6 linked regions of the Mus musculus genome follow. The protein of the gene in region 2 purifies or fractionates together with the protein of the main gene of each other region. This does not show direct contact. Links are inferred from orthologs where the notes say so. Each region holds a gene or a part of one and is shown on either strand. Other genes may lie near its edges.

Region 1 (5,179 bases), on a different chromosome or scaffold from region 2:
GGAATGTAGGGAGGTAAGGCAGCTCGCTCTCTGGTCACTTCCAGGCAGGGGATGCCTGCCGGGCTTGGAGGGCTTTCTGTACCACATCTTCCCACTGAGCGTCCGAGATCTCCCGAGCCCAGGCAGGAACCCCTGGTGCAGGCAGGCTTACTCCAGCCATCGTCCTTTTCACCAGCTCTACATGTTCTGAAAGCACAGCCAGACTGGTTAGGGAATAAAGAACGGGACCAGCAGCCGGGCGTGGTGGCGCACGCCTTTAATCCCAGCACTCGGGAGGCAGAGGCAGGCGGATTTCTGAGTTCGAGGCCAGCCTGGTCTACAAAGTGAGCTCCAGGACAGCCAGGGCTATACAGAGAAACCCTGTCTCGAAAACCCAAAAAAAAAAAAAAAAAAAAAAAAAAGAACGGGACCAGCTCCTCTCTCCCTAGTGCCTCAGTCAGCCCAAGACCCCCAACACATCATCACGCCCTCATTATTGCCAGGTCTGCCCATTCCCAAGTCTAGTGAGACAGCATTTCACTTAGATTCTGAAGTCCACAAAATCTCAGGTAACGAAATTTTTAGGAATAAAGTGATCTTGTTTGGGGGTGAGGGGGAGAATGGGGGGCATTGTATTCGGTTTTTCTCTGTGCAGCCCTGACTCTCCTGGAATTTGCTCTGTAGACCAGGAGACCACCAGCCTGCCTCTGCCTCATGAGCGCTGGGATTAAAGGTGTGCACCACCATGCCCAGTTCTTACTAGTTTTTGGTAATTATTTCTAAATGAAGGAATGAGCTTTGGTTGTTTTTGTACCTGGGTCCATGGGGATAGAGCTGTGGCTGCTCAATGCGGCGGCTCCCTCCTCATCTTCATCCTCACTCTCCAATGGAGGGTCTGGCAGATGAAGCCCCAGGGCCTGCAGAACCAGAGAAGATAATTTGTTAGGCGCCCCTCCCCCTGCCATTATGATAAACAGCTGTTGGTACATTCCATCTCATCTGCTTAGTAACAGCATCCTCCACCATACCTGGATCCGATCTTGGATGTCAGCAGCTCCATCTTCTCCTTCACCCACTGGTGCCAATTCCACCTCTTCTTGTTCAGGGTCTTGATTGAGGGGCTGGTACGAGTAGCCTGCTGGGCCTGCTCCTGTTTCCTCCTGCTCTTCCTCGGGTTCTTCACTGCTCCAATCCCCAGTTCCTTCTGTAGGACCCTGATGTGGCCCTAAGTCCTCAGTCTGATTGGGGAAGATACGCTCAGGGCCCATGGTGTCTCCCCCTAGAACTACTGCTGCCATCCGGGCAGGGGCTGCAGGGACAGAAAGGCGGGATAGGGATGGGATGAAACCAGGTCTCCTTTCACGTTCAGCCACCCACTTCCCTCTCGCATGGAACTTGCATCTTCCTCCCGTCTCTCCTGCCTCCCTGTCTCAAGTTTGGGTTCTCATATTGAGCTGGAGCACACACGTCTTTAACTCGCCCGATTCCTAAATGAACCGACCACCGGAGGGTTTCACCTCTTCCTAAAAGCCTCTTCCCAGAACCTCGCCCCTCTCACCACGCCCCTCCTCTGGAGGTAACTGCTGGTCGCCAGGCTACCCACCATAGCGCGTCCCCGCCCCTCATTCCCTCTATTCCGGGGGAGTGTAGTACCGCCTGGCAAAAACCCCTTCAGGCCCAGGGTCTCCCCTTCAATGGCCCCAGCTACAGAGTCCCCTACCCGCCCCACTGATTCTCGGCGTTGGTATTTCCTCGCGCCTCACCCTCTCAGAGCCCACAGCCGGACCCGCACCTTCACTTCCGGCGGGGCAGGACATGCTGGGGCTCTTAGTCCTCCAGCCCCGCCCCGTGCCCGAGACTGACGCAAGCGAGGACAAGTCCGCCTCTTGCCCCGCCTCCGCCATCCCCTGCCCGGACCACAAAGAACTACATTACCCAGTGACCCTCAGGCGTGCGACGTGAACTGGTGTTCTGCGCATGCGCACAAACCGGCCCCGCCCACCCGCTCCCCATCTTTCGGCCCTGGGGTAATTCGTGGACTACAAGTCCCTGAAGCTGTCGGGCCGGCAATTCTCACTGCACGTGCGCGTCCCGCTGCCCGCCGGAAGGACGAAGTCTGGCAGTGTTTATCTCGTTGGGGACCGAGGAATCGGTTGGCGGGCAACGGGTTCTAGGCTGCTGGCAGCGCGAGGACCCGCGGCCCCACCCCGGCCCGGCCTGGCAGGTAGCCTGGGATGGGTTGGGGGGATGAGGAAAATTGAAGGGACAGGCGACGCCCATTGCCTACGGCTGGGGCCGCGCGGGAGGGGCTGAGAAGGCTGAGCTGGGGGTGGGGAGGGAGCTAGGGGGATGCTGGGAAAGAGGAGTGTTAATGGTCCGCGAAAGGGTTAGGGGAAAATGGCCTGGAGACGGGTGGGAGAGACCTGGTGGCTGGAGGAAGCGCTGAGAGAAGTGGACGAGTGGGTTCCGAAGAGAATCAGGAAGCTGAGCATAATGGCAGGGGGAGGGGGCAGTGTGGCGTCGTGGGGGAGGGGCGGCTGAGAAAGGTGGACTACAACCGGAGACCAGTCTCATTCACAGAGCGGTATGGTTGGCAGGGGATAAGAATGGCTTGCTTCCCTTCGTGAACTTAGACGAGTTAGAGGGCTCTGGTGTGGACCTTGAAGTGGTGGGAGGAGGAACTGCAAGGCTCTCGGGAAATTAAGAAGGGAAGGGGCGCGAGCAGGGAGGGGAAGCCGACCTCAGGGGCTGGGATGTTGAAAATGGCCTATTGGTGGGAAATGCTGGAGACCCAGAGATAACGTATAACCTCCTGCCTCCGAGTTCTCCTTAGGAAGATGGAGTCTTCCTCCGTCTGCCACTGGGATTGTAGTCTTATCTTTGTGCATTTTCGTTTTATCTGGACTTACTTTCAAAGGAGAGTAAAAGATATGAAGGAGGTTGATAGGCTCTCCACCACCACGTTCTTTCCTTTCTTTCTCTATTTTTTGTTTGTTTTTTTTTTTTGAGACAGGTTCTTGTAGCTCTGGCTAATTTGGGACTTACTGTGTAGACCCAGGTGGCTGACCTTAATTACACAGACATCCCCCTGCCTCCATGCCCCAGCACGAGTGCCTTGGACTTGGATTCTTAAGCTTTCAGTCCTCTTTCTCTGATAAGCAAAAATTGAAGAGCCTGAGTAATGAAGGAACAGTTTAACTTTTGGCTGCTGCTGTTTCACATTGAGAGAGATGGCTACTTAAAGTATACAGTGAAAGGTTGTGGGGGCAGTTGATTCATGAAAGCTGCGTCTGTCCCCTTGAAGGGAACCTCCTTTGCTTGAGGTGCACCCACCCCACCCCCGAGGTTTTTCCTCCCTGCCAAGGATTTTTGAACAGGAAGTGAATGATCACCCAAACCCAGCAGATGTCTCCTGGCAAAGGCATCGCTAGTTGCAAAAAGATTTGCCTGAAAGAGCTCTCAGATATACCTGTTATCACTAGGCTGGCCGGCTGTCTTTACAAAGCCGTGGCCCCTCTCATCTTTGGGGCTTTCTCTTGTCCTGCCCAAAGGTATTTTTGCTTTCTTTCCTCTTTCCAATCTACACTCCTACCCCATCTCTCCTCTAGAGACCCAGACAGGGGCAGGGCTGCTGGAAGTGGCGTGTTCGCTAACAATAGTCCGGCTGAGAAAGTTGAGGGCGCTCCTCCCTGCCCCCGACTCTCAGTATACACATACCTTTCTGGTTTAAGTTTCTAGTCCTGGCAGCATACGAGCCACAGCTGTCAAAGGAACTCCTCGTGCCTGTAGACACCCTGGGTGACCCCAGGGACAACGGATCAGCTTGACAAGAACGCTCTGTGAGGGGCTAATCAACCATGGTTACATGGAGTTCCCTGTCCTAGGTAGGGACACTGTTCTCCTCTGAAAGCCTAAAGCTCCTTTTTACTTTAAAGCACCCATGCCAGCTCTCAGTGGACTGTCTGGGGCTGGCTGGGCTATTAATAGCTGTGAGTATTTTGAGATCCCTACCTTTAAGAGATGGAGGGAAATTCTTAGAGAGGTGGCAGTAAACAGAGCCAGAAGCAAGAACACACCCAGTATGGAAAAGGGCTGGGAGGCTGGGGGCTTGGAGCTTGTTCCAAGCCGGGGGCAGGGTGGAGTTGACAGATGCGGGGGGGGGGGGGGGGGGGCAGTCATGATCACCAGATTCTGAGCTGGCAGTCAGGTTAAGGTGGCCCCACCCTTCACTGTGGGAGAACACAGGGCCAGGGCAAGCTCCTTGACCTCTGCGGCTCTCTTGGGGCAGGGCCAGCCACCTGAGCTGTGATCAGTGTCCCTGTAGAGGGGTGGTGTAGGAGGGCCACTGGGGTGGCACTTAGAGGCAAAGACTGGTTCTGGGCAGCCACCGTGAAGCTCATCTGAGGAACCCGTGGCACCGATTTGTGTACAGGTAGCAGAGGCAGCAGGCCGTGCCGGGGGGGCATGTTCCTGTAACCTGTGGCCCAGGGGATGTTACGGTGGACAGTGCATCTGGAGGGCGGGCCACGCAGGGTGAACCATGCTGCAGTGGCTGTCGGGCACCGAGTATATTCCTTCGGGGGTTACTGCTCTGGGGAAGACTACGAAACACTACGGCAGATAGATGTGCACATTTTCAATGCTGGTAAGCCAGTCCCGTATCTTTCTGGAGTCCCTACACCATGGGAGGTAGTGGGCACCTGAATGAAGTGCAGTGGTGGTCTCTGCGGCAAGGGGGTTGGGTAAGAATGGTTGGTTTGGGACAAGGTGGCAGCTTGAAAGGAGGTTCCCAGGGCTGAGGAGAGCTGTATCCACAGTGTCCTTGCGTTGGACAAAGCTGCCCCCAGTGAGGCCTGCCGTCCGAGGGCAGGCTCCTGTCGTTCCCTACATGCGCTATGGGCACTCAACCGTCCTCATTGATGACACCGTCTTCCTTTGGGGTGGGCGCAATGACACTGAAGGGGCCTGCAACGTACTCTACGCCTTTGATGTCAGTGAGTATGGGTCTCAAATGACACCTTGGACCTGGGAAAGGGGGGGTTGGGGAGAGTGCTGGAGAATAGAAGGCCAGAATTGAGGCCGGTGTGTCAGCTGACCTGTGTCGTTCTCTTACCTCTCTCAAAAGATACTCACAAGTGGTCTACACCCCGAGTGTCAGGGGCAGTTCCTGGGGCACGGGACGGACATTCAGCTTGTGTCC
Region 2 (4,481 bases):
CTTACAAACCTCTCCTGAAGTGTTAAATCCTGGGATATAGCATGCACCATCATGCCATATTTTGGTAATGTTATTTTCTTGTTTTGAATGTCAAATCATTGCATTTAATGAAAAGCAAGGAAGACATGTTTTTTTGATGTTTAATCATTTTAAAGAATTGTAGTTTGGCTTTAAACTTTTTTTTTTTTTCCTCGAGACAGGGTTTCTTTGTGTAGCCCTGGCTGTCCTGTAACTCACTCTGTAGACCAGGCTGGCCTCAAACTCAGAAATCCTCCTGCCTCTGCCTCCCAAGTGCTGGGATTAAAGGCGTGCGCCACCACGCCCGGCAGGCTTTAAACTTTTTTTAAAGCAAAAAATAATAAGCTATTTTCTTGGCTTTGTTCATTTTGATGCCAAAAATGCCTGAACTTAAAATGCCAGTGTACTAGTTTATATGAGAGCTTTGTGTTGTTTATTTTTGATTTAGACAGGGTCTCACTGTGTAGTACAGGCTAGCCTAAAACTTCAAGCAATTTCACACCTCTGCTTCATAAATGCTGGCATTATGTGCCACCGTATCTAGCTTAATGATAGTCCTTTATTTTTGCTTTTGAAATACTCATTGCAGTTTGTCATTCTGGTACTAAGTTCTTGCCCTCACATGGTATAAGAGACAGATTCCACTTTGGCAGAAAATCATAATGGCAAGTTGGCTAGTTTGTTTTTTTATGCACTGTTTGAGTGGTTTTTTGTTTATTTGTTTGTTTTGTTTTTGTTTAACTATTCTTTCAACTTTTGTTTTGGCTGCACCTTACAGGAGAGCCTCATAGATGCTAGTGAAGACAGCCAACTGGAAGCTGCCATCAGAGCCTCCTTGCAAGAGACACATTTCGACTCGGCCCAGGCAAAACAGGATAGCCGCTCAGATGAAGAATCTGAATCGGAACTTTTTTCTGGCAGTGAGGAATTCATATCGGTTTGTGGCTCTGATGAAGAAGAGGAGGTAGAGAATCTTGCTAAGTCCAGAAAGTCTCCTCATAAAGATTTGGGGCATAGAAAAGAGGAGAACAGAAGGCCACTGACAGAGCCCCCAGCCAGAACTGAGCCTGGCACAGCCACAAACCATCAAGGATTGCCATCCATGGATTCTGAGGTCTTGGAGATGTCACCTGAAAAGTCAGATGGAATAGTGGAGGGGATAGATGTAAATGGTGGGTTATGGTATAGACCTGCTTTACCTACTAAACTCGAACGTACTGAATGACTTGCTTAATTAATCTCCCGTATTAAACACCTGTGTATGTGTATAACTCTTCTTTAGGACCAAAAGCACAGCTGATGCTGCGGTACCCAGATGGAAAAAGGGAACAGATCACTCTTCCAGAGCAAGCCAAATTACTGGTGAGTTTATCCCATTGAAACATTTGCTTAAAGCAAAGAATCTAATTGTTTGTGCTGCTAGGGGTCAAACCCATAAGCTATGCATGTTAGGCAACCCCCTGCTATACTGTATCCTTACTCCAGAAAACAGAGCCTTGACTCCTGACACAGAGAGTTTATCTGATACCTAACTGCAGACTCATCTGACAAGAGTCCTAATTTTTTTGGGTTTTGTTGTGGTCTGTTACTTGTTTTTTTTGTTTAGGTTTTGAAGCAGGGCCTTACTATGTAAGCTGGCTAACCTGTAATTCATAGCAATTTGCCTGCCTCAGCTTGATTAAGGGTGTGGAGATTTTGAGGTGAGATCTCACTTCATAGCCCATGTAGCCTGAAACTAAAGCAGTCTTTCTGCTTAGCCTCCCAAGTGCTGAAATTAAAATCATGAGCTACCATGCCCTGTCTCATTTTTAATTATTTCCTTCTAATTATTTTAGGCAAGTCACAGGCCAGCCAAAGCTTTTCAGTTTTCAGTTTTTGTTTGTGTGGAATATACTTACTTCTGGTGGTCTGGGGGTTGTTTTCAAACTTTTTCCTTGTGTGTGCGCGCGCACGTGTGTTTTGTTTTTGAGGCAGGGTTTCCTTTTGTACCCTTGGCTGCCCTGGAACTCAGTTTGTAGAAACTCAGAGATTCTCCTGCTTCTGTCTCCTGTGTGCTGGAACTAAAGCTGTGTGCCATCACACCTGGTGGATCTAGGATTTCTTAGTTGCTGTTACTAAAACATAGTTAAGAGCCAAGGTCGTTGTTCTGTGTCTCTTCTGTAATCTGTTAGGATTTTTTTCTTGTGCTTTTGACTTTATTCCATTCCTCTCATTGTTTGCCTATGAGTTTTATTTATTTCTTGATTTGTACATGACATCACCTATCATGGTGGTTTTAAGGGCCTATTTATTTAAAAATTGTTGAGCAATGATTCTTTTTAACTGCTAGAAAAGAGGAGAATTGGTCTGACTAGCATAGCTTAACCTATGGATGGTCCTCACTCGTAGCCCACTTTGGTCAGTACCTATACCTGGCTTGGTACCATGCCTGGGATTAGTCAGTCACTCTTTTCATTTCTATAACAAAATACCTGATATAAACAACTTAAGGGTTTCTTTTTGGCTCTTGGTTTCAAAGAGATTCCATTTCAGCCCTCCAGAGCAGGATAGGCATGGCAGTGTGAGAGCATGGCAGAGGCTCCTTGTCTTGTCATAGGAACTAGAGACTTGTTTGTGTGGCTGTGAGCCAGGAACAGAGAACTAGACCAGAGCTAGAGGGTTGGATAGGAACTTCAGAGGCCTGCCTTTGGTGACCTACTTCTGTCAGCCTGGCCCTACACCCTAAAAGCTCAGACCTTAGGGGAAAGGCCATTTAAATAGAACCATACAGAAGATACTTAGGCTGATTGTTGAAGACTGACAAGTAATAGTTTCTGGCTAGTGCCAGACACTAAACTACCATTGTTTGAAATGGGACAAAGGACAAATATGATATATAACTATCTTAGTTAGGGCTTTACTGCTGTGAACAGACACCATGACCAAGGAAACTCTTTTAAGGACAACATTTAATTGTGGCTGGCTTACAGGTTCATAGGTTCAGTCCATTATCAAGGCAGGAGCATGGCAGTATCCAGGCAGGTACAGGAGGAGCTGAGAGTTCTACATCTTCATTTGAAGACTGGCTTCCAAGCAGCTAAGGACAAGGGGCTTAAAGCCCATGTCCACAGTAGCATACTTCCTCCAACAAGGCCATACCTCCAAATAGTGCTATTCCCCTGGGCCAAGCATATTCAAACCTCCACAGTGCCTTTCTCCATCTTCTAGTTCTGCTAGCAAACTTTGGTATAGAAGTGTTAAATGGAATATTCCAGAACAATTCGTAACTTTTAAATTACATACTATTCTAAATAGTACAATGAAACCTCCTACCGTTACATTCCAACACCTAGGATGTGAACCATTCCTTTTATCCAGGATAACCAGACGGTATACCCGAGAGACAATAGCCATCTTAGTTTATCTAATGAAGGTTATAGTTACTGCCAGGTTTTCTGGTCAAAGTAACTTCAAGAAACTTTTAAAACTTATATATTTAAGTTAGCTCAGTGGTTAAGAGCACTGGCTCTTACAGGTCCTGAGTTCAAATCCCAGTAACCACATGGTGGCTCACAACCATCTGTAATGAGATCCGACGTCCTCGTCTGGTCTGTCTGAAGAGAACAACAGTGTAATTACATACATAAATAAGTCAATGTGAGTGTATGTTCTTGCAAGCTGTTCAGTAACTTTTAGTGATGGCCCCGAAGCTTAAGAGGATTAATGCTGACATTTTATTACAATATATTGTATGGCATTTTATTATTAGTTGTTGTCAATATATAGAGGTCTATACTATTATTAGATATCTACCAGTGATCATGGTGCATATTTTCTAGGGACAAGGGTCACTCCTAAGTAGACCATTCTTTTGAGAAGTTTAGTTGGAAAACTAGAAGACAGTAGGTAGAGGAAAGATGACTGATTGCTTATCTGACGAGAAAGCATTTATAGAGAAGGAAGTGCTGAAGAAATTGTAATAGACAGTTATGAGATCATAGTTGATTGTAGACAGAATGTAAGGACATAACTCTTCTGATGAAGGAAAAAACTGGGTGCTATATTTTATAAATGTTGCCTGGGTTTATTTATTAGGAAGACAGTAATGACTTTTTCAGTATCAATCACATTGTAATCCTAAGTTATTGGATATAGATTTGTCTTACTATCCAAAGGGTTATGTTGGCTTTCTGTAAGCTTTGATTATTTGAATTAAGTTACTTTAATATGATAAAAATAGAATACTCATAAACTAGTCGTCATGGAGTTTATTTCCAGCTAACAGTTTTGTCTTCCTCTTGTTTTTTGTAGGCGTTGGTGAAGCATGTCCAGTCTAAAGGATATCCAAATGAACGTTTTGAACTTCTCACCAACTTCCCTCGGAGGAAGCTCTCTCATCTGGACTATGACATTACCTTACAAGAGGCTGGCCTCTGTCCTCAAGAGACTGTCTTTGTACAGGAAAGAAATTAACACCATGGCCT
Region 3 (4,933 bases), on a different chromosome or scaffold from region 2:
CTTCTCAAATATTCTCAACTCTAAAATCGGCGTAGTTTGAAAATGCTTGACCCAGGGTACTACTAGGAGGGGTTACACCCTTGTTGGAGGAAACTTGTTACTGTCGGGGTAGGCTATGATAACCTCCTCCTAGCCACCTGGACCAGTCTACTTCTGGCTTCCTTTGGATGAAGATGTACAACTCTCAGCTCTGCCTGCATCATGCCTGCCTAGACGATAATGGACTGAACCTCTGAACCTATAAGCCAGCTCCCATTAAATGTTGTCCTTATTAAGAGTTGCCGTGGTCATGGTGTCTCTTCACAGCAGTAAAACCTTAACTAAGACAGAATACCAATAGTCTTTTGAAAAGGGGGAAAAAAAAGTTGTGTGAAGGGATACAATTTGAATAAGCAAACACTTGGTGCAGGGTTTGATGATGAGAGTTCAACATAGTTGCTTAAGTTATGGAAAAGTTTGATATTGGTAGTGATCATCACCCACACCTCTGACAGTTTCCAAAGATGATAACAATTATATTTAACATATCTAAGCAAAGCAGCTAACAACATCCACAAATAGATAAAACAGAATGACTGGTAAAAAGCAATCTGCATTCTACTTGTAAATCTGAATAGTTTAAAATTTGTTAAGTCCTAAATGACCAAATTTAATTTCTTCTTTTTTTAGTGAGGCTAGACAGAGTTTCTCTGTGGAGCCCTGGCTGTCCTGGAACTCACTCTGTACACTAAGCTGGCCTTGAACTCAGAGCTCTGCCTGCCTCTGCCTCTGCTGGGATTAAAGGTATGCACCACCACTGTCCAGATTGAATTTCAATTCTGGTAATAATAAAATTTAATTGGGACCAGGCACCCTGGAATATTCCTGCATTCCCAGAAGACTGGAATATGAAGGCAAGACGGTGAGAAGACCAAGGTCATCCTTTGCAAAGTAGGGAACTCCAGACCACTCTTGGCTACAAAAGTCCCTGCCCCAAAATAAAAGGGGTGAGGGTTGCTTGGAAGCTAGCCCCGTGAAAGCCTCTCCTTCTAGATACGCATTGAGTGTGACTGACTGAAGAGCCCTGCACTTTGCATTCCATCTATTTCCAAACCCTCAAATCCTCTCAAACGAAACACTCTACCCTGTACTAGCTCAACTCTTAAGACACATACGTTTTTTCCTTCTTTCTCCACTTTAACATAGGACGGTGCCCAGTAGAACTGCTGCTTCCCAGTTCCGGTCTTAATCTCCGTGCCTTCAATCCCGTAACTGCCCCTCTCCAGTCTACCAATCAGAATCAGCAGCCCATGAGCAAAGGGCACTAACTAGATGTGTAATAAAGTCACAAGGCATACAAGCCCTGCCCACAATGTGTAGCACTGCACAACTCCTCTAGCCTTAACAGCTTCCTTAGTCCAAAACTACTGTCTCGGATGGAAAGACAACCACACCATGCATGTTACATAAACACGACCAACTGAAATGCTGATCCCATTTCACAGACAGGGTCCAGGGCTGGGGACCTACCAAGGTCACACTTCCTAACAGTGGCAACTGTTTTGCGCCGACACACAGCTCTATCCCGTATTCAGTTGCGCTCCAGCCCTTCAGGCAGTGCAGGGAGACACTCCCCTCGCTTGCCCACCGGTGCCGATCCACAGGTGCCCTGCAGCGTGGCGACCCCAGCCCTTGGGAGCTCCGGGTGGAAGAAGGCCCAGACCACAGGGCTGCTCCAGGGCCTACTGGAACCCCTCACCCATTGTTCCCGGCCGACTCACCTCCGAGGACGCGGTGGCAGGAACCGCTGGGCCGTTGGAAGCCAGCTCCCGCCGGCTCAGTAAGCTCGGCCGGTGGCGGCAGGATCCGCGAAGGCGTACCCGGCGGCTTCGGCGCCTCCCCTCCTCGGCAGGCACCAGAGGGGGCGCTTCACCCTCCTCGCGAGACAGCGGAGACCCCGGTGGCGGCGGCTGCGACCCCTATGACGTAGAACGTTCATCACCCACAGGCAGTTTGGAGGCGGAGAGAAGGCGAGACCAACCCCCCGAGCCCGCGCAGCAAAACACCGCTCCTCCACCCCCTTCCCCCGAGCTCTGGGCGCATGCGCCAAACCGCTGCCGCACGCAGGAGGCGGGACGTTACGGCACAGACCCCGGACCCTGCCCTGCCCCCACCGCGGGGGGGCACAGCACAAACTCCACAATCACAACCAAATATGCAGAAAGGCTGCCTCAGTATCAGTGGAACCTCACAAACTTCAACAAGTTGTTAGGATTCTCTATGGTGCCACGGGAACTGGACTGAGCTCCCAGAGCACCCTGGTCCTTCCGTCTATTTCAGCTGGGTTGACCATCAGGCATTTCTTTTACCCCGCCATAACTCCCTGCGGCCCGCTTCCCTCTTTCCACTCTCGGAAATCTACACTAAAAATGTATCTGACACATCTGCGCCCAAAGCCGAGCGGCCCAGCCTCTGCCGGCCAGGCTTCCACTCTGCACACCACCAGCATCCTGATAGTTGGCCTGCCAAGCTGCCTTTCTCGGGACTTAGTATTTCAAACTTGCTGCAGTCCCAAGCATTCGACAAACTGCCCGTCAACACTTGTTGGCCGGCAGATCCACCATGCGGGCTACCTGTACAACATATTTGAAAAGATTTCCAGCCATCAGCGATAATATTCTGTTTGTTCTTGGTGAACGGCTCAACTAACAGTTCCCAACGATGTTTTTGTTACGTAAAAGATGTTTAAGTCAAGCATAAACATATGAAGGTCTATCCGCATTTGGTGGAAACCGATGTGGGTGTGGGACGGCAACTTTGATTCTTCCACCGTGGACTATTTTCCAATAAACTTTTATATGCACACGATGGCACACTATCTTGTATTAATACCGCACTGCAAATGCAGGATAAAGCAGTTAAGGAATTCCTATGTGAGCGCAAAAAAGGCGCGATCTTCACATTTTCTCTTTTATTCCCTCTGCTGCCTGAAAGGCGGGCTAGGCCCGGATCACGTGATGTGTTCCAACTCCGGGCGGAAGCCCGCGGGAGCGCGCAGAGTCCCGCTGAAAAATGGCTGCTGCATCGGGGTGCAATGCGCCCGCGAGCAGGCTGTAGGGCCCTTGCCACCCCGTCCCCGCTGCTCCCTTACCATGAGGCCGATGAGTCGCCGAAGCCTGGACTGGACTTACTCCCTGGTAGGTACCGAGCAGAGCGGAGCTCCAGAGCGCACCATGGCAGGGCCCGCGAGCCGAAGGTAGACTGTTGGCTCGCAGCTTGGAACTCCAGAACCCATTCCTAAATTGAGCGTTCACGCCCTGCCCTCGGCTCCGCCTCTTCCTGGAGGACACGCTTTTCCGCCTCTGACGTCAGGGGTTGCAGGCCTGCTTGCCTCTGGGCTGCACTGTGTTAGAGGCATGTGATGCCTTTCCACCTGTAGCTGCTTGCTCGGGCTACACAGGGAAAGGACCCGGCACATTGATTTCTTCTTTTTGCTTTTCCTCCCCTCCTTTTAGTTGCTCCTTGCAATCGTCTTGCTCTCTTGGGGATTCGTCATCTATGCATCGACTGTAGCTGCACGACGACAACTACAGAAGGAGTTTCCAGACAAGTTCTTCTGAACGAACTTTTGTAATTCTTAGCAAACACTTCTTTTCTTCAGATGGCACCTATGTAGACTCAAAGTAAAATTCACAATACAAATTTGCGTGTGGCCTTTTGTGATAAGCGTTAACATGCCAATTTTTCAAAATGATCGGACAACACCCCCCCCCCCCTTTTTTTTTTTTCGAGACAGGGTTTCTCTGTATAGCCCTGGCTGTCCTGGAACTCACTTTGTAGACCAGGCTGACCTTGAACTCAGAAATCCGCCTGCCTCTGCCTCCCGAGTGCTGGGAGTAAAGGCGTGCGCCCCCACGCCCGGCTCTATTTTGTATCAGGTCATAGCTTTTCATTCTAGTGCTCAAACACTTCACATCCTCATGTCAAATCAGTATGTAAACAACACTGTGACTAAAATGTGTTTTGCATCCTGTTTATCAAAATGGACAGAAAAAAGTAGCTAATAGCTCTGTTTAGTATTTGTCTTTTTACTGTTAGTCTCAAATCATAGAACCTTTGGACAGTAACACGGACAGTGATAACACTCTGAGAATAAGCTTTATTAATTACTTTTCCAGGAAACAGATTCAGTAAATACAGCACTTTAGGAACATACTTGTGCTGTTACACAAGTCTGTTAAGTTTTTAAGGACTCTTCAATGATGTTGATCAGGAAAATCTCTCATTGGTGGAATTACTTCTCCAGTCTCCAGAATTGTATCACCCTAGGGAAAACAGGAAGTGTTTAATAGAGATTTTTCACCAAATATACATTTCATTGTAAATATTCCAACATTTGCTCAACACAATAAATGACTATAAAGATACTTTCTTTACATTTGTTAAATTTAAGCCAGGTCTGATGGTGAATTAATCCCAGTGCTCTAGAGGTAGAGGCAGGCAGATCTCTAGTTTGAAGCTAGCTGGTCTACATAGCAAGTTTCAGGGCAGACAAGACTACATAGATCGACCCTGTCTTAAAACAAACAAAAAAACAACAAAAAGAATCCCCAAAAAAGGCCATTAAAATTATTTTGCATTTTACCTAAAACATTTCAATTTAGGTGCTAATTTTTTACTTGTACTGATTTGTAAATGAAGCTAAAAAAGATTAATCAAACTATTACATGAGGACTTAAAAATTAAAAGGCATACTAAAGTGCATATTTAGACGGTAGACTGTAGTTCTGAAGCATGGATATACTTGTGAGACTATCTATCTCCACAATCAAGGTAATGACATCCTTCTGATTACAAGATTTAGTATTTTATTCCTTCAATCTATTGTCTCAACATCCACCTCCAAGTTTCAAAAATACTGTGCATAGATGGTCACTCTATGCTAGTCCATGTT
Region 4 (5,275 bases), about 14 Mb from region 2:
GTGGGGGGGGGTAACTAGGAGGAAGGAGGCTGATATGGGATACAAAATAAATAAATAAATGGAAACAACAAGTGAGGTCAGAGTAGGTGCTGCCCACAACTAAACTGTTTTTATTTTTGAGACAGGATCTTGTCGTGTAGCCCAGGCTGGCCTCAGTCTTGCTAGATGTAGTTCAAACCTACCTTAAATTGGTGGTTCCTTGGCAAATGTTGATTCCGCCACCATAACTTTAAGCCTAATAAAACTGATACTTCAAAAACACCCTTCTCCTACTTCAGAACTGGACAAATGCTAAGTATTAAGAACCTGCCACTGAGTAGAGTGGCCTAATTATTCTCCAATTCATTAGTTCATACCTGCTCTTTATGTTCAAGATATGCAGTTTCAAGTTCTTGCCACCCAGAAACCGGAACCAGCGTATACTGGACGTGGTCACACTGAAACAGGGCCTGGAGAGAGAGCATGTGGTCAGAAACCCTCATTAAAGATAACTTACCTGCAATCACCAGAAGCAGACTAGTTGAGTTGAGACAAAGATCTATGTGATATGCTGTTTGGTAAAAGGTCAATAGGAGAAGCTACGTGGCAAGGCTGTGAGCAAGAATTCAATCTGAATCTGTACAGTGTGCCAAAGTAAAACATTAAGAGAAAAAAAATACCCTAATTTTAATTACAGGGGTTCTGAAAAATTCCTAACCCCAGCACATTGTAAAAACCACACTATGAGCCGGGTGTGGTGGCGCACGCACGCCTTTAATCCCAGCACTCGGAAGGCAGAGGGAGATGGATTTGAGTTCGAGGCCAGCCTGGTCTATAAAGTGAGTTCCAGGACAGCCAGGGCTACACAGAGAAACCCTGTCTTGAAAAAACAAAAACAAAAAAACAAACCACACTATGGTCAGAGCCCAAACTAACAATCTTCTCTAATAGACTCGGGGCTCCTGTATTTCCTGCACTCCCTATTATACCACTCCCCACTGTCACATCTCCTCTCTCAAATTCCATCTTTGAGAGGTCATTTACAAATTCAAAGATTTCAGAAGTGAAACCATTTTCACTTGGGTTACTGTATAAAACACTACGTACTTGTCTCACTGTTTGCACTATACTTCTCTCTAGCTCCAGTATAGGTCAGAGAGGATATTTTGGGTTCCTCACCTCCTGCCTGCTCCTTCTGGTCCCTCCCCTTCTGTGACCTACCCCCTGCTGGGGCCAACCCTGATCTGTCACCTCTCCCTCCTGTCCTACCTTCCTAAGGTATTCAAAGCTCACCTGGAGGATCTTGCAAGCACACAAGGCATCCACGTCCGAGGCCACAAAGAGAAGGACCCTCTGTAGAAGCAAACGTGGACAGATGAGTTGAACACAGGGACGCTAAACTCTGTGGCAACTCTCTGACCTCCCGGCCCATCCACGGACACTCGCCCTCTTCTCCCCAGCCCCCAGATAAGGTTTGGATCAGGATCGTGGAATGGGAGTCACCTGGTTGTGGACCGTCTCGTAGAACTCCTTGCGGAAATCGGTCACGAACATAGCCACAGCGGCGGATACCTAGAACTGGCGCTGAGACACGGACAGCCCCGGAGGTCGTCAAGACTCCCGCCAAATCACAGCTCTTCTGATTGGTCCACGCCAGCAGCCAATAATTCTTAGCCTTTCCTCCTTTCTGATTGGTTCCTACTGGGGACAGCCAATAATGCTCTGCTATTCGCAGCTGGATAAGACCCGCCCGTCCCTCAAAAAATGAAACATCTTTCCTCAGGCTGCGAACCTTGTTGCCGGTGTTGACGCTAACGTCCAGTCACCCAAAACCACCTATGTTTGGCAGACATCTTTACTTCGGGAAGGAAGGTCTATTATCTGACCCTGGCATACTTAGAAAACAATATACTCTTAGACATAAAGTAAATTCAGTCACACATTATTTGAATGTGTTTCCAATAAGTTTCCAATACACGGTTCGTCGAATTAGAGTGAGCTATAGATTACTTCCGCCCGAATCCATGATGGCCGGGATCAACGCCGGAAACTCTAGCTGCATTCTGGGTATTGTAGTCCGTAAGGAGAACGGCTCCTATCAAGTTGTTTGGAAGAGAGTACTATCTAAACATTATAAACAGTCGCTATCCTGTGAAATCAATTATCAAGTGTTTTAATGTTTACTTTAAGTAATATTCAAACCTCAGGCCTTCCCATGACTTTCTGTTTTTCCGCCGCTGACTTCAGGCCTCCGTACCCCATCCCCTGCGGTGTTCCGTCACTTCCGGCGAGCCTCTCGCGGTTTCTGGGTTTCAGAGCAGTGGCCTGGACTGCAAAGAGGGAGCTGTGGGTTTTTATTGTAAGGTTCAGGAAAAGAAGCGGCATCACCAAACGCTGTCAGTCATGGTGAGTTGACCGGGGATCGCGAACCGGATGATGCCAGAGTTGCCCCTGGAGCTGGCAGGGAGGGCCTGGACCTGGTGGCGGAGGTGCCGAGTCACCCGGGCCTGCGTCGGGCCCCGACACTGTCCCGAGAGCTTCTGTCCCAAGTGGGACCCATAATTACGAGCCACCTCTTTTCTTCTTAGCTTGTCCGAGTCATGACTCGAATGCCTTTCGGCGGGACAGCAGCCCCGAGAGTAAAAAGGAACCTGCTACTTTATGTCGATAGTTCTCATAAGTGCTCGACACGCAACAAGTTTCCATGAACTCGGAGTTAACTGGAGATTTCTTGGGGGAGTGGCGCGAGGGAGGAGAAAACGAAGGACATTAAGCTCAGCCAAAGTTCCCTGACCTTTTATTTAGTAGAAATCATGTCTTAGGCTGTATGTCACGTTGTGTTCATCACGTTGTGATAACGACAATAGGTAATATGTAGTGCGCCTTTTTTCTATCAACGTATACTTATTTAATTCCTGCATTCCCCATGGAACATAGGTACGTAGTTATTATATTTACCGGTAGAACTAAAACTTAGAGAGGTGGTACTCAGGAAAGTGAGGCTCAGAGGTTGGAAGTCAAGTCCATCCGGCTGCAGTGATGTCTCATCACTCCTGTATATAGTGTTGACTCCGTGCCATTTGTTTGTTTGTTAAAAACAAGAAGTGATTATTAGATTTTTATCCTGAGTGTCACAGTAAGTCCCTGTCTAAGTTCATTTACATAACCAGCACTGAGTGTTTGATGTGTTAGGCATAAAAGCTTTAAAGGAAGTAACATGGATGATAGAAGCTCATGTTCATTGGTGGCTGAGTTGGAAGGATACCGTTCGGGTGTTGCATACTTCATGTACGTTGTTTATGTTCCAGAGAGAAGCAGTAGGTTAGATGGATGGCATAGGTGAAGATGCTTTGACGAGCACACACCCCCCACCCCCCAACCCCATGGCTCAAAAAAGGGCTTTGTGGGTTATGCACCTAAGACTGAGTCACACAGTTCTGGTACTTAAAGAAAAAGATAAAAGACTGAAGCACGCCTTTAATCCCAGCACTAGGGAAGCAGAGGCAGGCAGATTTCTGAGTTCAAGGCCAGCCTGGTCTACAAAGTGAGTTCCAGGACAGCCAGGACGATACAGAGAAACCCTGTCTCGAATAAACCAAAAAAAAAAAAAAAAAAGACTGAAAACTTGTGTACTAGTAACTGAAGAACAGTTTATTGGTGGGGGATGTTGGTGTGCACGTGGGCTTGAGAATAGAAGCCTTCGGGTGGGTATGTGAGCCCGTATGTGCATGTGAAGGTCAGCAGACTGTCTTGGATGTAGTTCTTCGTGTCTTGACTTTGCTGGCTGGTATGAGAAAATACTTGATATGCAGTGTGCAGGTCTGTTCTGTGCTGTGAGCACCAGGAGAAGCACTAACTCTGACCCCTGCCAAAGCAAGGGAGGCTTGCTGAAGAAGAAAAAGCATTGTTACTGAAAGCCAGGTGGAGGAATACATACATGGGCATCTGCTTTTCACCACCTGCAATGCTCTTTTGGGTTTCTTGCCCAGTTGACACTCAGACATGTAGGTCTTTAATGAGGGTCTCCTCCTGAACACTTGGTTAACATCCATTCTCGGGTGCTCTCTGTCCCGATACCTGTTTCTTGTCTTTAAAACTCCTAGACATAGGTATTTTATTGTTATCTTCCTTGTCTTTCATATCAAGTTCCCCAGGGCAGAGGTGATATCTGCCTGCAGTACCCAAACATTACTAAAGTGATATCCCCTAAAGTCCAGATTGGAGCCACACAAATGGTAGGCACTCAGGAAAAGAGGTGGCTTCTAAGTTAAGGATGGTGGGGAAAGGGCTCCAGGTGGAGTTACAAGTCCAGAGACAGAAACGTTAGGTTAGGAGATGGTGGATGGTCAGTAATGAGTCTCTGTGAAGTGTATGTAAGGCCCAGCCTTGATCCATCTTGAGAATAGGGAATAGTAGCAGAAGAATAGGAGGGGAAGGCCTGGTTTTATATTTAGTAAAGTTGCACTGTCTATAGATAATAGAAACTGGACCTGAGGGATGAGTTTGGGAGGCACAAGAAGGATTTGAGGTTCACCGTGCCGCCGAGGTGGTCAAAAGAACATTCTGGTTAGTTGAGATTTTAGTTTGCTGTGTTCTTTGACCACATTTATACGCACTGATGACTTGCTATGTTAGTGCTTGGCCTAAAGAAACATACCTTTGAGGTAGATACAGTGCACATTTGTGTACATTTGTTATGTGGGAGGCTAAGTCAAGGTCACCGGGATTCAGGACTTGATGACCAGCCTCTTTTTTTTTTACAGTGCCTTTGTTTCTTTGTTTTAATAATAATACCATTTCTTTCTTTCTTTCTCCTAGTTTTCTTTCAACATGTTTGACCACCCGATTCCCCGGGTCTTCCAGAACCGCTTCTCCACGCAGTACCGCTGCTTCTCCGTGTCCATGCTAGCAGGGCCTAATGACAGGTCAGATGTGGAGAAAGGAGGGAAGAGTATGTGCCTGTTTTTATTTTGAATAGTAACCTTTCCTGCCCTAAACTCTATGAGCCCTGTAGCCTTCTATAGCCCTTAGTTTGCATGTGGGCACCAGACACTAACATTATAGTAAAAATGTCACTGTCCTAAGGCATGGGTGGTGGGAGTAGGGTGCTAATTATGTTTGTTGACTAAATGCCATTCAGAGCACAAAAATAAATTACTTCAAGTAAGATTCTTTATGAAAAGTCGTTATGAAATTCTGGCTAGCCCCAAACCACTGTTTAAAGCTTTTAAAAGATGCATCAGAAAGTATACATCTTGCCTTTGGTCTACCCTTTTGTTTTTATTTACTTAATATT
Region 5 (4,481 bases), on a different chromosome or scaffold from region 2:
GGCCTGGGATTTAGGGATCCCCCTGTGACCCAGCATAGTAGTATGTGTGCCTTTACATGGCAGAGGACCTGTCAGGCTGTTGTTGAATGGCAGTCCCATTTGATAGATAAAGAGAAGTCTTAAACTTTTAAGACCAATGTAACCAGAGATATGGAGTTGGGGATATGGAGGAGTATAAGTATAATTTGAGTATATAAGTATAAAAAAAATAAACTATATTCTTTATTCAAGTTTTGTTCTTGAAAATCTTAAAATGTGAATTTATACTTTGTATTTTGTTTTTAGATGCCAACACTATTTGTGGAATCAGTTTTGGAAGTACATGGTAAATTCGTTCAACTTATCAACACTGTTTTGAATGGTGATCAGCATTTTATGAGTGCTTTAGATAAGGTAACTTTAAAACAAATAACCCATGCATGTGATCTGTACATGGGATTTTCTTTAACCTGTGATGTGGTTTTCAGTTGGGCATCTTTGCTAGGCAGTCAAGTTTGAGAACCTTGAGCACTGAAATGTACATTAAATAACTAGTTTAAATTTGGGAATCTTAAATTTTAAAGTGGTAAAATGAACTTATAGTGTCTTATGTCAGTCTTTCTGAGTTATTAGTGACCTGGTGTGCATAATTCTAATTTTCTTTAGTTCTGGTCCTTTGTTAGAGCCCCGGCAGTGGCAGGACTATATTTCTGTTTAACCTATACCACATTTAGACTGTATTCATTCTTGGTTTGAAAGACACCATGAATTTGAATTGATATTTGACATAAGAAATTGACTCTTGATTTGTGAGATAGTCATCTTCCTGCTAATTTAACAGAACAGAGCTAAGCAGAAGGAATTCTTTTAACTCAGGGTTTCACAAGTTTCTGCCTAACTAATTATGTTGCTTTGGGCTTCTCATAGTACATGAAGATGTTCACCTAATGGTGACAGAAAGTAGCACAGAAAGAAGGAAAAGAAGCCCCACATCCCTGGGCCGCCAATATCCCTTTTAACACATGGCCTTGAGAGTTGCTGGGGATAGCTCAACCTCCAGTACCCATGTCAAAACAATGGTGTGATAGTGTAATCTAGTGCTGGAGAAGGCTGGGATCATGGGGCTTGCTGTCCAGCTAGCTTACACCCTAAGTCTCATGACAGACTCTGAAGATTTTGAAGAACAATAGCTAAGGTAGACCTTGCCTTCATTTATGTTTATACTTCTTTATGTGAACACCTATACATTACATACAGAGATAGAAAGAGAGATAGCTAAACTGTGGGTATTATAGACATAGATCAGATCCACAGCCACCACTTTTGCCTCCTTCTGGTAACTAATCACTGGGCTGTTTTCTCGTTTAGGCCCTTACATCTGTTGTAAATTACAGAGAACCCAAGTCTGTTTGCAAAGCGCCTGAACTGGTAAGTTTAGTTGCTTGAAGGTAATCTCATGTGAAGTTGTAAAGGGAAGTTACTAGAATGGCAAATTAATTTGTGTACTCATTTTCAGAATATGAAAATTGTCCGCATTATATATATATTTAAATTTACGTTCAGAATGCATTAAACAATGTTCCTTTTTTTAACCAAAGGAGAAAATATTTCATAAAGATGATAATCCTGTTAAAAAGGCATGCATACTATTCATTATCTGATTAGGTTTTTTTCTTAGTTCTAGTGTCTTATGTTTTTAAAACTTAGCTGATCACGCATGTTTTACATTCATAATATTAAAGTATAACTTTAGGATGTAACAGCTTTCAACATCTGTTGAGCCACTTTTGCTTTGCTTTTGTCCCATCGATGGTAACCGTTTACCGGCTTGTTTTCATGTTTATGCTCTTACATCTGTTCTAAGTGACAAACCTATGAGGCTTTGTGTTGCCGCCTTTGAAGTGTCTGTCCAAAGGGCCTTTGTAAGATGTATTATTACTTTCTCTTTGAGCTTGCTAAGTACTGTGACAACTTGCTAAAGAAGTCAGCGAAGGGGATGACTGAAAATGAAGTGGAGGACAAGCTCACTAGCTTCATCACAGTTTTCAAGTACATTGATGACAAGGACGTCTTTCAGAAGGTGAGCTGAACAGCATTCAGATCAGAGTTACCAGCTTCACTCTGTTTTGAATTTCAAGTCACAACAAAAGTAACCATTCCCATTTTCCTGCAGTTCTATGCAAGAATGCTAGCAAAACGTCTAATTCACGGGTTGTCTATGTCTATGGATTCTGAAGAAGCCATGATCAATAAATTAAAGGTACCATAAATCTTTAGTGTGATAGATAATATCATAGAAATCTTGTACCAACAGCCAAGTATGCTCATTATATGTAATGACTGTATACTTCAGCAGTCATTGATGTGTATACATACAGCAGGCTGTGTAAGTGGTCAGGCATGAGTGTATTTGTGTACAGTGTTGGGTGTCAGTATGAGATTCAAAGGGGCAGAGGTTTCCAGTGATTTAAGATGATCTTTAAGTTCAGTATTGATAACAAAAAAAAAAAAACAAAAACTACAACTAAAATAAAATAAAACCCTCTGGTCTCCTAATTGATCCCTGGCTGGTCATTCTCAGTTTAGGTTATATTCTTTGCAACTTGTTTTCCAGCAAGCCTGTGGTTATGAGTTTACCAGCAAGCTGCATCGAATGTATACAGACATGAGTGTCAGCGCTGATTTGAACAATAAGTTCAACAATTTCATCAGAAACCAAGACACCGTGATTGACTTGGGGATTAGTTTCCAAATATATGTTCTTCAGGTATGATAGTATTTTTCTTTTTTAGATTTATGAATCATTTTGACAATGTAATATAGAAGGTTAGCAAATGATGCCTGATAACGTCTAGTCAGCTTTTGAGCTGTGGACCACATTTTACAGACTTGGAATAAAATGGGCCATAGCACTGTCAGAATTCCAAGAAAGAGAAAAGGTGTCTCAGCAGCTCACCATTGAAATGGGTTTTTTGGGGTAGATATCTGTTGAACGTTTTATCTCACTGTTCCTTTTTAGGCTGGTGCGTGGCCTCTCACTCAGGCTCCTTCATCTACATTTGCAATTCCCCAAGAGCTAGAGAAAAGTGTACAGATGGTAAGTGTTCTGGGAAGCAAACAGTAAACAAAGGCATGGTAGTGATGCTCTGTGTGTGTGATTGTGTGTGTGTAGTATGTGTGTGTGTGTGTAGTGATGCTCTGTGTGTGTGTAGTGTGTGTGTGTGTAGTGATGCTTTGTGTGTGTGTGTGATGTGTGTGTGTGTGTAGTGATGCTTTGTGTGTGTGTGTGATGTGTGTGTGTGATGTGTGTGTGTGTGTGTGGTGTGTGTGTGTGTGTGTGTGTGTGTGTGTGTGTGTGTGTGTGTGATGTGTGTGTTTCAGTTTGGGGTTTATTTGTAATACACAGGAACCTCATCAGCTCTTAGTAAGCACCTGTAGTTCATAGGATGTGGTATTTTATGTAAGTTTAGGGATAATGGCAATGGATGGCTCAGTTGGGTAATGGCACTTGCTTGGTGAAGCCTGACAAACTGGATTCAATCTTCACACCCCTCGAGATTGATGGAGAGAGTCAGCTCCCATGAGTCGTCCTTTCACGCTCATGTGTGGCCCTAGCATGAACAACATACCACCATTCCAAATACATAGTTAAGTAAATAAATGTGTATTATTTTAGAAAAAAAGAGAAAGCTTCAAATCTTTCTACTTTCCCATTTGAACTTTGAAGCCATTTTTAGGCTTCATTTAGTTCTGGTAATATTTTAATTTTCCTGTAATTGAGACAAGTGTTAGGTATAGACTGAGATATGAAAGCATAATATGTGAAAGCTGCATTTTGAAGTGATTCTAAAGTGGGACAGAAATCCTAGAAGACTAAAGACTGACCTGTCTGAGGTTGTCTGAGAGTCTGCATATGCACATAAATGGGCAAATACATAAATACATTTTTTAAAGTAAAACTAAGTCTGTCACTCACGAAGAAACTTTGGGTTCTACCCCAACACAAATGTAATTAGGACTAATGTCTTTTATACATCCAGTCCAGCCAAGGAATTTTTTTTAATTCCTAAGCTTTGATAAAAATAAATTTTAAGGAAGTTTTTTCAACATTTATTTATTATGTATACAACATTCTGCCTGCCTGTATACTTGCAGGCCAGAAGAGGGCACCAGATCTCATTATAGATGGTTATGAGCCACCATATGGTTGCTAGGAATTGAACTCAGGAACTCAGAAGTCAGATGAGGTTGTGGGATCCCCTGGAACTGGAGTTGTGAGCAATCTATAAGCCATTTCTTATGGGTTCTGTGATCCAAAATGTCATTTGCAATTGGAGTATGCATTGTTAAGTACTGACTCTTTAGACTCTTGTTCATGCAATTATAAAGTTAAATGTACTAATATCAGCAAAAGGGCAGTAGATAGACACCTTGAACCCTAAAACTTTGTTCATGTGATTGTTTACACAATTGTTATATCATAGACCCCACTTTGTATTAAC
Region 6 (5,016 bases), on a different chromosome or scaffold from region 2:
GTTTCATGGAAGGTAGAGTTTATGTTCCAGTCTTCCCAATTTCCATTTATTTATGTTTATTAATCTGTTTTCTAAACTGGATTTCACGATGTAGTCTAGCTGCAAGTCAAAGGCAATCAATCAGAAGTGTCATCCTCCAAATACTAGAATAATCAGCATGAACCACTATGGGGAGCTTTTTCCTTATGGTTTAGGTGTGGTTTTTGTATTTCACTCTTCTGTTACAATTTGTATTGGGAGGCATAGGTATCAGGTCATAGCCTTGAGAACAGCAAGTAATTGTCCTAATATTAAGCCATAACTCCAGTTTCAATTTTAAAGTAAACCAAACAATGCTCTCGGTACAGTGGCAACAGAAAGGATTTGTTTGTTTGTTTGTTTGTTTGTTTGATTGATTGATTGATTGATTTAATTTTTCAAGACAGCGTTTCTCTGTGTAGTTCTGGCTGTCCTGGACTTGCCTTGTAGTCTCTAAAAACCAAAAACCAAACCAAACAACAAACAGAATGCTGTTAAACTTAGTAGCAACATCAAGGGATAGAGACCCAGACTAGAGATAAAACTTTGCATTTTTCTAAATCAGAACAGAGAAGTCCTTTTCTCTTGTGTTTGAATTTCTTTTGTTTGTTTTGAAAGGAGGTGCTGTGTAAGTCCCCCTGTGTAGCCAAGGCTGACCTTGAACTGCAGCTCCTCCTGTCAGCTTCACACATTCTGGCATGCATAATAGCACCAGGTTTTTTCTTCAGCTTCTGATCTGTGAATTTAAGACCTAAAGGCCACTAGAAACCCAGTTGTATCTACCATAAAGGACTACTAGAGAATAAAGCTATATAGAGAGAAGCTTAGATGAGAGATAAAGAGAGAGGCTGAGAAACAAGATAATAGTTGAGTTCCTGGCTCTAGCTGGGATTGAGGTTTGCCCTGTCTGGATATAGAAACCAATCGACTTCTTTTGTTTCTTTTTCTTTTTCTTTTCTTTTCTTTTCTTTTCTTTTTTCTTTTTTTTTCTTTTTTTTTTTTTTGGTTTTTCGAGACAGGGTTTCTCTGTGTAGTCCTGGCTGTCCTGGGTTTTTGTTTCTTAAGCTTAGTCAAATTAGGGGTCCTGACACTTGACAAAACAGTCTCAATAAGTTAGATGTGAGCTACAAGTTAGACATGCGATAAACAGAATCTCGTGACTTTCTCCTCTCACTTTAAAAAATATATATGGAAATATTTTACATGCTCCACTAGTAGATGAGCTGGAGGGCCCTAGACTCCTGTTTGTGGAAGTCTGAGACTTCCAACTATGTCTTCCTCCATTTTAGCGCTCTTTGGAGACTCTCTGTAAGGAGTCTGATTCTAGTCTCCTCTAGCCTAGTGTTGTGTCAATAGAGACCTAGTAGGGAGTGAAAACTTTTATTACTCTTCCAATGGTAACAGAGGCCACCCCTCATCTCATCTGTCAGTTTAGGAACTTTGTGAAATTACAGAACAGTGACCTCTTAGTATCTTGGAGATATTCCTGTTGGAGAGATTTTGGGAAATATATCCAATTATCACATTGTGCTGAGATGAGAGTTTTTACGTTTGCTGGTTTGGTTTGGTTTGGTTTGGTTTTTGAGACAAGGAGTATATGTAGCTGATGTAGTATATACTCTGGCCTCGAACTCAACAGCCTTTGGCGACAGACAGCCTCGTATACCGCCTCGGGCATCAACTTCCCGGTGAATGCTGGGATAAAGCCTCAAACAGTCACAAGGTGACCAGCTTCGTTTTGATTGGCTAAGACATCACCGAAGCCCTTTGTTGTTCAGCAATGTGCTGCTGTAGGACTGGTCAGATCTGCTGTCAATTATCTGAAAGGCGTTACAGTTGGTGGGTGGGGCTAGAATAGACTAGGGTGTTATCAGTCTGGTCCGGGCGCAGTCGACGACAGACGTCTTCCAGAAGGTCTCTGATTCATGAGGTATGAGAGCCCCAACGGATGAATGTTAGAACAAAATCTTTGTTGATCCTCCAGTGACTGTAAGTTAAAAGACCTCTCGAAAGACAGAAAAATGTATTCTTTAGAAATTAGAAAGGTGGGTCAGATTTCGGGCCCCTTAAGAAAGGTGGGTCAGATTTAGGGCCTTGTAAGTGGGTCATAACTTGGAGGTAACTCTTTAGTCTCACTTGGTACTAAATGTCATCAACTGTTTAAAGGGGAGGGGGGATGCTAGAAGCCATAGTCTTATCGGTGATGTGAAGAAGTTAAGGCAGAACTTGTTAGAATTGGTTAACACAGAAATACCCTCAAGTACAGCTATGTGTCGGTATAGTCAAAAGAATCTTATGGAAGCTTGTAGGACTGGGAAAAGGCCGCCATTCAGGAAAGTACTTTTGTTTTGATTTCGGTTTCAGTTTCCATAAACCCAAATGGGAGAATCTGACTTTGGATTCTTGTTCACTAAACTCTCTTCCTCTGAGAAGGTGAGACAGGAGGATCCCTGGAGCTTCCTAGCCAGCTGGTTGTCTAGCCTAATAAGTGGGTTCCACGTCAGTACGTGACCCTGTCACAACAGGGAAGAACACACTGGGACCTCTGCCCTCCATTTATTCTTGACCCGCCCCCATTTCCATGGCCTCCCCCCCTTCTTTTTCCCACCATTCCCTGTGCCCTCATCCTCCCCACCCCTCCACCTCAACCCTTTCCCTCCCTCACTTCTTCTTTTGACCTCTTTACCTCTCACCTGGATACCTGCACCTCTCCTGACCTAAACTTCCTTCTCCTCCCCCATCTCTGCTCTTTACCCATTGCCCATCCCTGTCCCAGCCCCTCCTTCCTGTCTGCTCCCTTGTCACACTGCTGCTCTTTCCCCTCCCCCTCCCTCCCTCCTCCCCTCTCTTCTTCCTCTCCCTTCCCCTCCATATCCCTTCCTGTTCCTTCCAGTCCCCTCCTTCAATCCTCCTCTCATCGCCCTTCTCCCTACCCTCCCTTAGTCCTCCACCCCCTCATTCTCATCCCCATACCCTCCTCCCTGCCCTCCCTTCATCCCCACTGCCAACTTTCACTCCCACCTTCTTACTCCCTCCCTTTGCCCCTCCCCTGCAATCACCCTCCTCCTTTTCCCTCTTCCCAACTTTCTTCTTGCCCCTCCTTCATCGCCACCCTCTTCCACTGCCCATTATCCTCTCTGCCTAGCCCCCAATCTTCGAGCTCCCTCATGGTAATCCTTTACTTTCCTTCCTGCCCTTCTCCAATCCACCGCTTCCCTCAACCCCTCCTGTCTTTATCCTCCCAGTCCACCCCCTCCCTTACCCTCCTTCCCATCTCCTTTCCTCATACTCCTCCCTCAATTCCCCTCCTTCCTCCCTAAATCTCCCTCTTTTCTCACCCTTTCCTTTCTTTTTTTTTTTGGGGGGGGGGAGGGTTCGAGACAGGGTTTCTCTGTGTAGCCCTGGCTGTCCTGGAACTCACATTGTAGACCAGGCTGGCCTCGAACTCAGAAATCCGCCTGCCTCTGCCTCCCAAGTGCTGGGATTAAAGGCATGCGCCACCACGCCTGGCTTCTAACCCTTTTTTTAAAAACTGAACTAAACATTTTATTAATATTAATTCTTTTTTTTAGATTTATTTATTATATGTAAGTACACTGTAGCTGTCTTCAGATGCACCAGAAGAGGGAGTCAGATCTCGTTACGGATGGTTGTGAGTCACCATGTGGTTGCTGGGATTTGAACTCAGGACCTTTGGAAGAACAGTCGGGTGCTCTTACCCACTGAGCCATCTCACCAGCCCTAATATTAATTCTTATCCATGAACATATAATTTCCACCTACTTGGGCCTTCACTTTATTTCAGTAATATTATGAAGTTTTCAGAATACAAAGCGTTCACTTTCCTGTTTATGTTTATTCCTAAATATTTTGTTTATTTTTTATTATTTATAAATAAGTAAATTAAAGATATGTTATTTATATACCTTTATTATTGATATTTAAATTTTTCTTTTCAGACAACTTGTCATTTGTATATAGAAATGCTATTAATTGTGTGATGGTTATATATCTTACAATTTGTATTAATTAATATTAAACCAAAAATATTTCTAGTTAAAAAAAAAGAAATGGGTCCTATAATATGTCAACAGCTACAAAATCACAAGCCTAGTTTCAAATGTTCAATACATTAACACTCTTTGTTAGTAAGCCATATTTCTGGGGATATTGATGAATAAAGAAAAGCTTATATTAAATGAGGGAACCCATTTCCAGAAAGAAAAATGTTCCATGTTTTCACATCTTCTGTTCTTAGTTCCTAAACTTCAGATCTGAGTATAAAACCTGGAAGAACAGATAGTGGAGGGTTTACTTAACAAGACTAGGCACATCCTTTTGCTGTAAGGAAGGAGCTACCAAGGATAATTGGATACCTAGGGTTTTATTTGTATTGGGACTTTCTCACCCTTCTTAATACCCCTAATCCCTACCCTCCTCCCTCAATATTTCCTTCTCCCTCACCCTCCTTAATTTTCCTCAGTACACTCCTCCCTTACCTTCCTCCTTAATTCTCTCCTGCCTTCAGTCTCCCTCTTCCTTTATACTCCTCCTTAGTCTCCCTCCTCCCTCTCCCCACTTCCTTAATCCCCTTTCTCCCTACTCTCCTCCTTAATCCCCTTTTTCTCCTTATCCTCCTCCCTCAATCTACCTCCTCCCTCCTCTTAGTCCTCCTCCTTCCCTATCTCCCTCCTCTTAGTCCCCATCCTCCTTTTCCTTCTCCTTCCCTCACACTCTTCTCACCATTGTTCTTCACCCTCCCTCCCTCTTCTCTTTTCATCCCCTCTCCCTCCCTCTCATCATCCTCCCTCACCGACCTCCCCTCTCCTTTCTCCCAGTCTTCCTTTTTCTTTCTCCTTCTCCTTTTCCTTAGTCTCGCTCTTCCCTCTCTCCCATGTTTCCTGTTCCTTACTCTCTCTTCCTTCCCTTGCCTTCTCAGTAGTCCCACACCCTCTCACTACATCCTCTCCTTCCTTTCTTCATCTCCCTCCTATCCTC

Evidence for each region.
Region 1: the proteins of Ubxn7 (region 2) and Klhdc3 purify together in Homo sapiens (affinity purification with mass spectrometry; 3 studies listed by BioGRID and IntAct, with this or other methods). This does not show direct contact. The link is inferred for Mus musculus from reciprocal best matches to the Homo sapiens genes UBXN7 and KLHDC3.
Region 3: the proteins of Ubxn7 (region 2) and Topors purify together in Homo sapiens (affinity purification with mass spectrometry; 4 studies listed by BioGRID and IntAct, with this or other methods). This does not show direct contact. The link is inferred for Mus musculus from reciprocal best matches to the Homo sapiens genes UBXN7 and TOPORS.
Region 4: the proteins of Ubxn7 (region 2) and Ufd1 purify together in Homo sapiens (affinity purification with mass spectrometry; 3 studies listed by BioGRID and IntAct, with this or other methods). This does not show direct contact. The link is inferred for Mus musculus from reciprocal best matches to the Homo sapiens genes UBXN7 and UFD1.
Region 5: the proteins of Ubxn7 (region 2) and Cul2 purify together in Homo sapiens (affinity purification with mass spectrometry; 6 studies listed by BioGRID and IntAct, with this or other methods). This does not show direct contact. The link is inferred for Mus musculus from reciprocal best matches to the Homo sapiens genes UBXN7 and CUL2.
Region 6: the proteins of Ubxn7 (region 2) and Cul4b purify together in Homo sapiens (affinity purification with mass spectrometry; 3 studies listed by BioGRID and IntAct, with this or other methods). This does not show direct contact. The link is inferred for Mus musculus from reciprocal best matches to the Homo sapiens genes UBXN7 and CUL4B.

The regions. Positions count from the first base shown.
Region 1 is NC_000083.6:46,677,726-46,682,904, reverse strand, and holds the start of Klhdc3 (kelch domain-containing protein 3), read left to right. Parts: upstream 1-1,974; 5' UTR 1,975-2,203; intron 2,204-2,323; exon of another isoform or gene 2,324-2,563; intron 2,564-3,696; exon of another isoform or gene 3,697-3,710; 5' UTR 3,711-3,863; exon of another isoform or gene 3,864-4,104; intron 4,105-4,411; 5' UTR 4,412-4,470; coding exon 4,471-4,624; intron 4,625-4,796; coding exon 4,797-4,973; intron 4,974-5,104; coding exon 5,105-5,179. Other genes in the region: Mea1 (male-enhanced antigen 1), read right to left, coding at 35-186, 794-896, 1,008-1,288, 1,772-1,883. UniProt on the Homo sapiens protein: Substrate-recognition component of a Cul2-RING (CRL2) E3 ubiquitin-protein ligase complex of the DesCEND (destruction via C-end degrons) pathway, which recognizes a C-degron located at the extreme C terminus of target proteins, leading to their ubiquitination and degradation.
Region 2 is NC_000082.6:32,380,466-32,384,946, forward strand, and holds part of Ubxn7 (UBX domain-containing protein 7), read left to right. Parts: exon of another isoform or gene 1-203; intron 204-796; coding exon 797-1,190; intron 1,191-1,300; coding exon 1,301-1,380; intron 1,381-4,308; coding exon 4,309-4,470; 3' UTR 4,471-4,481. UniProt on the Homo sapiens protein: Ubiquitin-binding adapter that links a subset of NEDD8-associated cullin ring ligases (CRLs) to the segregase VCP/p97, to regulate turnover of their ubiquitination substrates.
Region 3 is NC_000070.6:40,266,544-40,271,476, forward strand, and holds the start of Topors (E3 ubiquitin-protein ligase Topors), read right to left. Parts: upstream 3,299-4,933; 5' UTR 3,177-3,298; coding exon of another isoform or gene 3,134-3,176; coding exon 3,131-3,133; exon of another isoform or gene 3,036-3,130; intron 1,959-3,035; coding exon 1,761-1,958; intron 1-1,760. Other genes in the region: Smim27 (small integral membrane protein 27), read left to right, coding at 3,132-3,176, 3,495-3,599; Ndufb6 (NADH dehydrogenase [ubiquinone] 1 beta subcomplex subunit 6), read right to left, coding at 4,236-4,304. UniProt on the Homo sapiens protein: Functions as an E3 ubiquitin-protein ligase and as an E3 SUMO1-protein ligase. Probable tumor suppressor involved in cell growth, cell proliferation and apoptosis that regulates p53/TP53 stability through ubiquitin-dependent degradation.
Region 4 is NC_000082.6:18,810,033-18,815,307, forward strand, and holds the start of Ufd1 (ubiquitin recognition factor in ER-associated degradation protein 1), read left to right. Parts: upstream 1-2,261; 5' UTR 2,262-2,382; coding exon 2,383-2,385; intron 2,386-4,797; coding exon 4,798-4,930; intron 4,931-5,275. Other genes in the region: Cdc45 (cell division control protein 45 homolog), read right to left, coding at 357-449, 1,273-1,332, 1,483-1,533. UniProt on the Homo sapiens protein: Essential component of the ubiquitin-dependent proteolytic pathway which degrades ubiquitin fusion proteins.
Region 5 is NC_000084.6:3,424,165-3,428,645, forward strand, and holds part of Cul2 (cullin-2), read left to right. Parts: intron 1-285; coding exon 286-393; intron 394-1,347; coding exon 1,348-1,407; intron 1,408-1,930; coding exon 1,931-2,059; intron 2,060-2,152; coding exon 2,153-2,239; intron 2,240-2,593; coding exon 2,594-2,746; intron 2,747-2,998; coding exon 2,999-3,076; intron 3,077-4,481.
Region 6 is NC_000086.7:38,573,071-38,578,086, reverse strand, and holds the start of Cul4b (cullin-4B), read left to right. Parts: upstream 1-1,890; 5' UTR 1,891-1,948; exon of another isoform or gene 1,949-2,007; intron 2,008-5,016.